Mus musculus: one gene and its partner. The protein of the gene in region 2 interacts with the protein of the main gene of each other region in a biochemical or structural test. Links are inferred from orthologs where the notes say so. Each region holds a gene or a part of one and is shown on either strand. Other genes may lie near its edges.

Evidence for each region.
Region 1: the proteins of Scn8a (region 2) and Fgf14 form a complex in vitro, tested with the Homo sapiens proteins (2 studies listed by BioGRID). The link is inferred for Mus musculus from reciprocal best matches to the Homo sapiens genes SCN8A and FGF14.

The regions. Positions count from the first base shown.
Region 1 is NC_000080.6:124,134,957-124,138,777, reverse strand, and holds part of Fgf14 (fibroblast growth factor 14), read left to right. Parts: intron 1-2,485; coding exon 2,486-2,596; intron 2,597-3,821. UniProt on the Homo sapiens protein: Probably involved in nervous system development and function.
Region 2 is NC_000081.6:100,934,811-100,939,109, reverse strand, and holds the start of Scn8a (sodium channel protein type 8 subunit alpha), read right to left. Parts: upstream 2,840-4,299; 5' UTR 2,786-2,839; coding exon 2,510-2,785; intron 1-2,509. UniProt on the Homo sapiens protein: Pore-forming subunit of a voltage-gated sodium channel complex assuming opened or closed conformations in response to the voltage difference across membranes and through which sodium ions selectively pass along their electrochemical gradient.

The DNA of each region.
Region 1 (3,821 bases), on a different chromosome or scaffold from region 2:
AATACCAAGTACAGGACTGTAGTGGACAGGGCATGTTAAGCAGATGAATGTGAGGATATATATATGTAAAATGTTCCTCTCAGAAGTATGGAATTTGGAAAGAATTGGAAAGGGGAAACATGATCAGAATTTCTTGTATGGAAAAAAACATCTAATTTCAATAATCAAAAACCAAAGCAAACAACAGCAACAACAATGGCAATTATTACTCAAGCAACTGTTAATCTTAATTTTCCACCTGATTGGATTGACTTATCTGGTGGGTTCTGACTCTGGTTATATCTATGAGATAATTTCCAGAAAGGATTAACTGCAGGGAAACATGTACTTTGAATGTAGGCCATATCATCCCATGGGCTGGGTGCTCTGACAGAACAAAAGAATGAAAAAGACAAATCAGAATTATGGGATTAATTAATTATGGAATTATGAAAATTTGAAATTACTTGTTATAGAAAAAGGCTTTGATAAATTATTTCTTTGCTGGTGAAATAAGCCAATTCAAGCCAGATTAGATTATATTAAATGCAGGTTGACTGGAAGCTGCTCTTGGGTGAGTTCACTGGCCCCAAGGACTAAGGCCAGAGGAATTGCCATGAGAAGGGAGAGAGATCAGAGGGGAAAAAGAAAGGGAGAATGAGCATGTGCAGAGAAGAGAAGGAGAAGAGAGAAATAGAGAGAAGGGGGTAATAAAATGACTAGATTTTACAGGGAAGCGCCTTTGGGGGACTAGGAAGTTCAGGGTTAGAGCCAGGTAGGGACTGAGAGATTCTAGGAGAACCTGGAGGCCATGTCTGCTTTGATATGTAAAACATACACCTCAGTCCCTTGTCCCAGGGTCCAAAACCAAGCAGGTATATATACAATACAGCCTTAATTATCACTTAGATATCTCTTTTTTACAATCAGCATTTTAAACACACCTGTCTTCTGACATGCTTGTTACAGAGATGTTATAATACTTCAATATTAGCTCACTTTCCAGAATGTTATTTGTGTCCAGTTCATCATCCCATCTCTGAAGTAAATGTGCTCAATGCAGCTGTGTGCATAAAATAATGGCTGAGCTTGATTTTTTTTTTCATTTCTTAAAAGCTAATCAAAATCCCAGAGCTATTCTGTTGGGGACAAATCTCTCTGTTTGGCCTGTTTGCTGTTTCTGTTTGCCTGTTGGCTAGTCTGTAGTTATTAAAGACTATATGCTAAATTGTTCACGGCATCCTGTAATTTGGACAGCACAAACAAATTTGCATGTTTTATTCAGCTGCTGTGGAGAGAAGCCTGTTGCCATGGTAAGAATGATGATGCCCCATATTAGATATGCTCCCAAAATGAGGATGGCCTTTGCAAAGCCACATGCAAATACTTATTTTATTAAACAGAGCTAGCTTCTAGGGAAACATTACTAGAATTACTAGGCATATACCTTTTCTCAGAGTCATTAAGTAGGAAGACCACAATACATAGCTTCCCCTTCTGTTCTAGTAAATGCCCACCTCCATTTACTTCCATGCCTGATGTTCAAAAATCAAATTATACATACATATATATGTATATATATACACATACACACACATATATACATATACATGTACATCATATACATCATAAATATGTATATATACATATATGTGATGTATATATTTTATACATACATACATACATACATACATACATACTTGGCTGTACTTTTCAGTTATATAAATGAAGAGCTTTCTTGTTTCATTTACACCTTAACTAGTAACTTGTCCTAGAGCTGACTCCTATGTTGATTAATGTATTGTTATGTTTTGTTGTTTTGTTTTGTTGTTTTGTTTTGTTGTTTTGTTTTGTTTCAGCAGTGCTGGGTGCTGCACATGCAAGGCACTCACTACAGCATTGAGCCAAGCCCAATCTTCTTTTGATCCTAGGCCTCACTTTGCGTTCAGAAGTGAAATGTCTGACTCTTGTATGTGTCATTAATAAACACCACAAGTTCTTCCATGCAAGCAGGAGGGGGTCGTTGTCCAAACTGGGAGTTTTAGTAAAATGTACACTGCATTTTAACATATTATTTTAAAGTACAGTTTTCTCACGCTTAAGGTTGTCAATTTAAGTAAAATGAAAATTAAAATCTTTAATAAAGTTTCTGAGTCACTTCTTTGAAAATCTGGAATTGCCACCCTGAATGAAAGGAATAATTTGAGGTTAAAATCATAATTAAACTAGTGATTTAATTAGTTTAACCATGTAATGAATAATGTAAACACACATTCTAGTTTCATGAAATGCCCTATTTTCTGAAGCTTATTATTATGCCTGCTTTAATTGTGGTGGTTTGTGTAGTCTGGATATCATGACCCAGACAAGTCTGGGAGCTAGAAATGTGCAGCCTCTACAAAATGTCTTCTTCTGAAAAAGAAACATCAAAAATTTTAAAAGAAGGGTAACAGCCAACTTTCCCCTCAGCCTTGTGAAGCTGATAACCCTTGTATTTGCCTTTCAGATCCCCAGCTCAAGGGCATAGTGACCAGGTTATATTGCAGGCAAGGCTACTACTTGCAGATGCACCCCGATGGAGCTCTCGATGGAACCAAGGATGACAGCACCAATTCCAGTAAGTGACAAACCAGGTCTGCTACTGAAATGGCTTCATGAGATGCATTTCTAAATGCTTGGTTCTGTTGGCTTTTCTAGTTGCCCACGAGAATGCATGCATCATTTCACTGAGACCACATTCATGAAGGTACTAATGTAGAAGGAGGCACTTTTGGTCTTAAACTGAGTTTGTTTTTTTCTCACAGACTGGTTATGTCCAGAACATCAGTATTCATCCCTGATTATAACAGTTAGGTACATTGGTGCATTAGTATAAAAGTTAATATCTTTTGCATAGAGGGTAATCTTCAGATTATTACTCTTGTATATATACACTATATAAAACATTTGATTATCTTATAAATAGGGTCTGTGTTCATTTAAAAAACAATGTACTTTTTGTAATGTTGTCTTCTATGTGCTATTTTTTTATGTTACAATTATTACATTTTTCACAGGATTTATCTGGGACCCTCCTTACTTAAACGTTTTCTCCTATGCTGGTCTCTAATTTCCTCTAATTGCACGTTAGTTTTAACACACACACACACACACACACACACACACACACACACACACCCCTTTTACTGCTGGGTTCAGAAAAATTACCAAAATGTGTTTTGATAGATTTAGTTGCAGGACTAGAGCCCTTATGTCATGAGCAATGATAACTGTCTAGTTATCATTCTCTTCACAATAGATTATAATCCATAAAAAGAAAGGAAAACCTGATTCATTTAATGGAATAATCAGCCCTTCCTGGGTTTTTTTTGTTTGTTTGTTTGGTTGGTTGGTTTTTTTTTTTTTTTGGTTTTTTTTTTTTTTTTTTTTTTTAGTTCTACTCATCAAGTTCTGAGGTATGGATTCTGAGATCAATTAATGACATGAAATCAGTTGTTTTACACATGATGTGTCTATGTGAAGTATTGATATTTTCCTATCTTTAAATCTGAAATGAGCTGAGATTTATGAATATTGTGTTTACATTGGTAATTTGTGGGACTTGCTTTACTCCATTCAAATAATATTATAGATACATTTTCTTGTTAATCTTCCTTTTCTTTTTCTAAATAATAAATCTTTCTATTGTGTCTTGCATTTTTTGCCTTAAAAATGATCTTTATATTATTTCCCATTTATTTATTTATTTATTTATTCATTTATATTTTCCTTTTTATTGGGAAAAGAGAAGGAAAAATAACTCAGGTACTGTGAATAAAAGAAACAACTGTTGGCAGAGGTCT
Region 2 (4,299 bases):
CTGAAAGCCTAAACAATGATAACAACAACAAGATTCCACGATAAACAAAAATGGAAGACAGACAACAGAACTAAGAAAACAACAGGAAGAAGGCTGAGAACAGGTGTCTGAGGTGGTCAGGCTCCTGCCACAGAGGATGCCGCCATCGCCATCAGGTTACCTCTGCAGGGAGGCAGGAGTGGGAGAGGGGATAAAGGCGGGCTTTTAACCAAATACCTCTGAAATTTTGATCATGTAAATATACGACCTGGTTTTAAAACGAGATAAGTCAAACTATGTATCTGTTCCTTAAACGTACTTATTTGTATTGAATAACTGAAAAAACAAAACAAAACAAAAAAACCCACGAAGGCCAAAGGGAGGAAGCACTAGCACCCAGTGCCCAGAGGGAGGGGCGCGAGGTGTGGCTTGCACCTTTCAGCATATAGGCTTGCAGGGGGCAGAGCTGTTTGTAGGGACCCCCCCCCCCCCCCCGGTAAAGACGGGAATCCAACAAGGCCCTCAAAGCTTAGGATGGCCAAACAAGACAATCATTTACCAGATGAGAGCTTATCTCCCAGGAATTACTCACAACAACTCCTGAAAGACAAACAGAGAGGAACATCCTCTTAAAGTCACTCCCCCACCCCATCCCACCCCACCCCGCGCTCCCACAAGCTTTTTAGTTAGTTGGTTAGTGAGAAGGGCCAGTAACAGAAATGCAGTGAGCACCTGAAGTAGGTCGAGAAAGCGTGTTCTTTTTAATCAGATGGAGAACTCATTTAGAAGGAGGGGTGCATGCCTGCCATGCTCAGAGCCTCCATTCAAGCCTTGGTGTAGAGTATGTGGTGTGATAATCTGTAGCTCCAGACTCAAGATGTAGAGGCAGGAGGATTAGGAGTTCTTGTGATTACATGGTGAGTTCGGGGCCAAGTTGGGCTACTATGTAAGACCCTGTCCCAAGTAGATGGCCAGACAGACAGACAGATTATGGATAGATTATAGATACGTAGACAGATTATAGATAGAGATAGATTATATGTAGGTAGGTAGATAGACAAATTGATAGATTATATGTAGGTAGATAAATTGATTGGTTGATAGATTATAGGTAGCTAGACAGATTATAGGTAGACAGATAAACATTGATGTGCAGTGAACATATCTTAACTGCTGGCAATGCTTTCTTGACTTCATTTGTTTGCCTTAGAGTAGCCATGTGTATTTATGTATTTATGCATTATGTATGTATGTACATATGTATGTATGTCTGTCTGCACACACCATTGAGAGGGTGTGCATACCAGGGCACTCAGGTAATCTGAAGACAACTCACAGGTTCCCCCCCCCCCCCCGTCACATGGGACCCTGGGACCCCCCCCCCACCCCCCGTCACATGGGACCCTGGGACCACACTTAGGCCCTTAGACCTAGAGTTTTCCCTGCTGAGCCTTCTCACTAATCCTAGGTAGGTCTCTTAGCTCTATTCCACTTACAAGACAAAGGAGCTGAAAGCTTTTCTTAAATTGCACTAACTGCACCAGTTCAAAACGGGCAGGCGTGTTAACAAAGATCGTGTACTGGAGCTTTCTATTGTAAATACACAATTACACACAACCTTCTCGCCACCCCCATTATCTGGAAAACCCACTGACACAGTTACTTAAATGACATCTGTGGCATGCGGTGGGTCTCCTACAAGGTGACATCAGCCCTCAAGGATCCAGCAGCTAATCACTTGGCCAGAGAGAATCAAACCCAGAGGCTTGGCTTCTTTCGTCTTATTTCATACACTAATCTAAGATTTGGGTAGACACTGTTCAGGAAGTTTGAGCCCTGGGCCAGATTGAAGCTTAGCCTTTTACCTGTGCCCCTGTCAGGCAGGGGGACAGGACTGGCTTTGCTACAAAGATCCATCCAAGCTATGGGCCTGGTGTGTGCCACTGTGTCTGCCCCACAAGGCCATGCTCCGGCGTCACATTGGAGGGCTGCACAGACAGCAGCACACCGTGGTCTCCATTCCATCTCCAGCCTGCTGCTGTGCTAACAATATCACCTTTATATACAGAGATGGGATACTAGTGTGGGTCAGGGAGATCCCGCACAGCTTTAGTATCTATCCTTCTGAATGCTAATAAGTAGATGTGTTTCAACTATGCCCACACTCCCTTCCTTCCTTTCCTCTGTCTTCCCCTCAAATTCCCAGGGGCTTCATGTGCTAGGAAGTGCTCTGTCACTGAGCTACATCCTCACCACCCTGCCACACATATGTTTTGTTGTTTTGTTTTTAAAGCTTGCCTGGAGGCAAGACTGGAAGTCTTGCTAACAGGGGTTGGTCTGTAGGAAGGCCTGAAAGTGACCCACACCAGCAACAAAATGGGGAAAGAAGACCCCAGGTGGAAGCAAGGCCTCGCTATGTCTTCCCTGACACAGCACGGGTCTCCCTGCTTGGGCAGAGACACAGCTCCGTCTCCCCTCTCCCCAGCCTGAAGGGAAGGGGGCCTCTGCAGTTGGGCCTCCTCCAACTCACTTTCTGCGTCAAATAGTACGGGTCAAAGTCCTCCAGGGGAACCGCAACCAGGCCTTGCGGGATGTCCCCGTAGATGAAAGGCAAACTCTTCCCCGCCTCCAGGTCACTGTTTGGCTTGGGCTTGCTGTCTTCATCGTCCTCCCGGTGGCTGCCATCCGCCTTGGGTGGTTTCTTGAGCTTGCTCTCGGCGATGCGCCTCTCGATGTTTGCCAGCGACTCGGGGGTGAAAGGCTTGAAACTGTCGGGGCCTGGTGGTGCGAGCAGCCGCGCTGCCATCTTCTCATTCTGCAGCAGCTTCGTTAGTTATGCTGAGTCCGGGACAGGTCGGCTCTGGAAGAACAGCAACACAGGCAGCGTTAATCAATCACCGCTCTAAAAGGAGGCCGGGATGAAGCCAGCTCGTTCTCAACCTCCATTCACAGCCTCTGCCACACGGCTTCCACTTCCGCACGCTTCATCCTCATCTTAAAAAATCTACAGCAAGAGTGGCTTGGGTGACCTTTGTAATGGTCCTCGGGAGAGCGGTCAGCCAGGGAGAGGGGAAGACTGGGGTCTCCCTAACTGTGGGCATATACAGTATTTATCTAAATCCAACCCACTGTTGAGAATCACACACAGGCACTCCGTTCTCGGCTAACAAGGCAGTTAGAGCTCCCTAGGGCCTGCCTTTGCATGCTTCCCCTCCTCCCTCTGGATCTACGCTCCAAGAAAAAAAAAAGTTTTCCTTTAAGGGAAAGGAACGGGTAAATTTTCCCTCCTCTCAAGAACTTCACTTTCGGAAAACAAAACTAACTCCTTAAAACTTCTGCCGACAGAAAATAATGGCAAAATAGCTCCCGTCTGAATTCATCCTTCCATTTCAAAGGTGTTTCAATTGACTGAGCTGTGGGAAATCTGCCTAGTATAAGATTCCAGTGGTATCTTTTTTTTAAGGATCAAGAACCCACTGGGGACAAACAAAGAAGACATCTTTCAGTGGAAAGGGCTGCCATCACTCCCACAGATCGCTGCTTAGCAATGAGAAAGACCAAGAGAACCTCCAGGTCCCCCCATGTGCCAGCCACGTGGCACTGCAGGCCTGGGGGTCTGGCTCCCTAATAGAGACTCAGACAGAAGGGAAGATGGACCAGAGACTCTGCCCTTTAGAATGAGCAACAGCATAGAAACCAGGCATCAGGGATTGTGTAGCCCACGTTCGAAGAGCCTTTGCACTCCTGTAGACAGAACCCCGAGTTACTTCCATCCAAGACAGGGTTAGGGTTAGGGTTAGGGTTAGGGTTAGGGTTAGGGGATCAGGATGCAGAGAAGCACTCGCTCATGTCTGAATGGACACAGACCAGGCGCAGTACTTCCCCTGCTGCTCAGAGTGGTGCTTCCAGCCTGGGCAGCATAAGGTCAGCCCAGGAAATATACTTCTTAATGTTCTGTCTCTCACAGTCCACACATCCTTTAAGAGTATTTATTGACTTAGTGTACATACACACACACACACACACACACACTCCCAGGAAATAGTTTTGGAAGACTAGAGATTGCTGTTTCTGCTCCTACTTAGTCCTCAGGGTCCACTTCCCATATCTATATAATGGGAGCCTGCTCAAGAGAGGGACCGTAAACGCTTACTGGTGTCCCTCAGGACTCCTTTCACGGATCTGCCAGCCCAGACTCTGCCTTCCTGTAGCCAGGCACTTTCAGCATGGGGCTTCCTGGGTAAGAACCAGACACTGCCCCTCCCCCACCTCAACACACACACACACACACTGGGTGCCTTCCCACACTGCACCAGATCC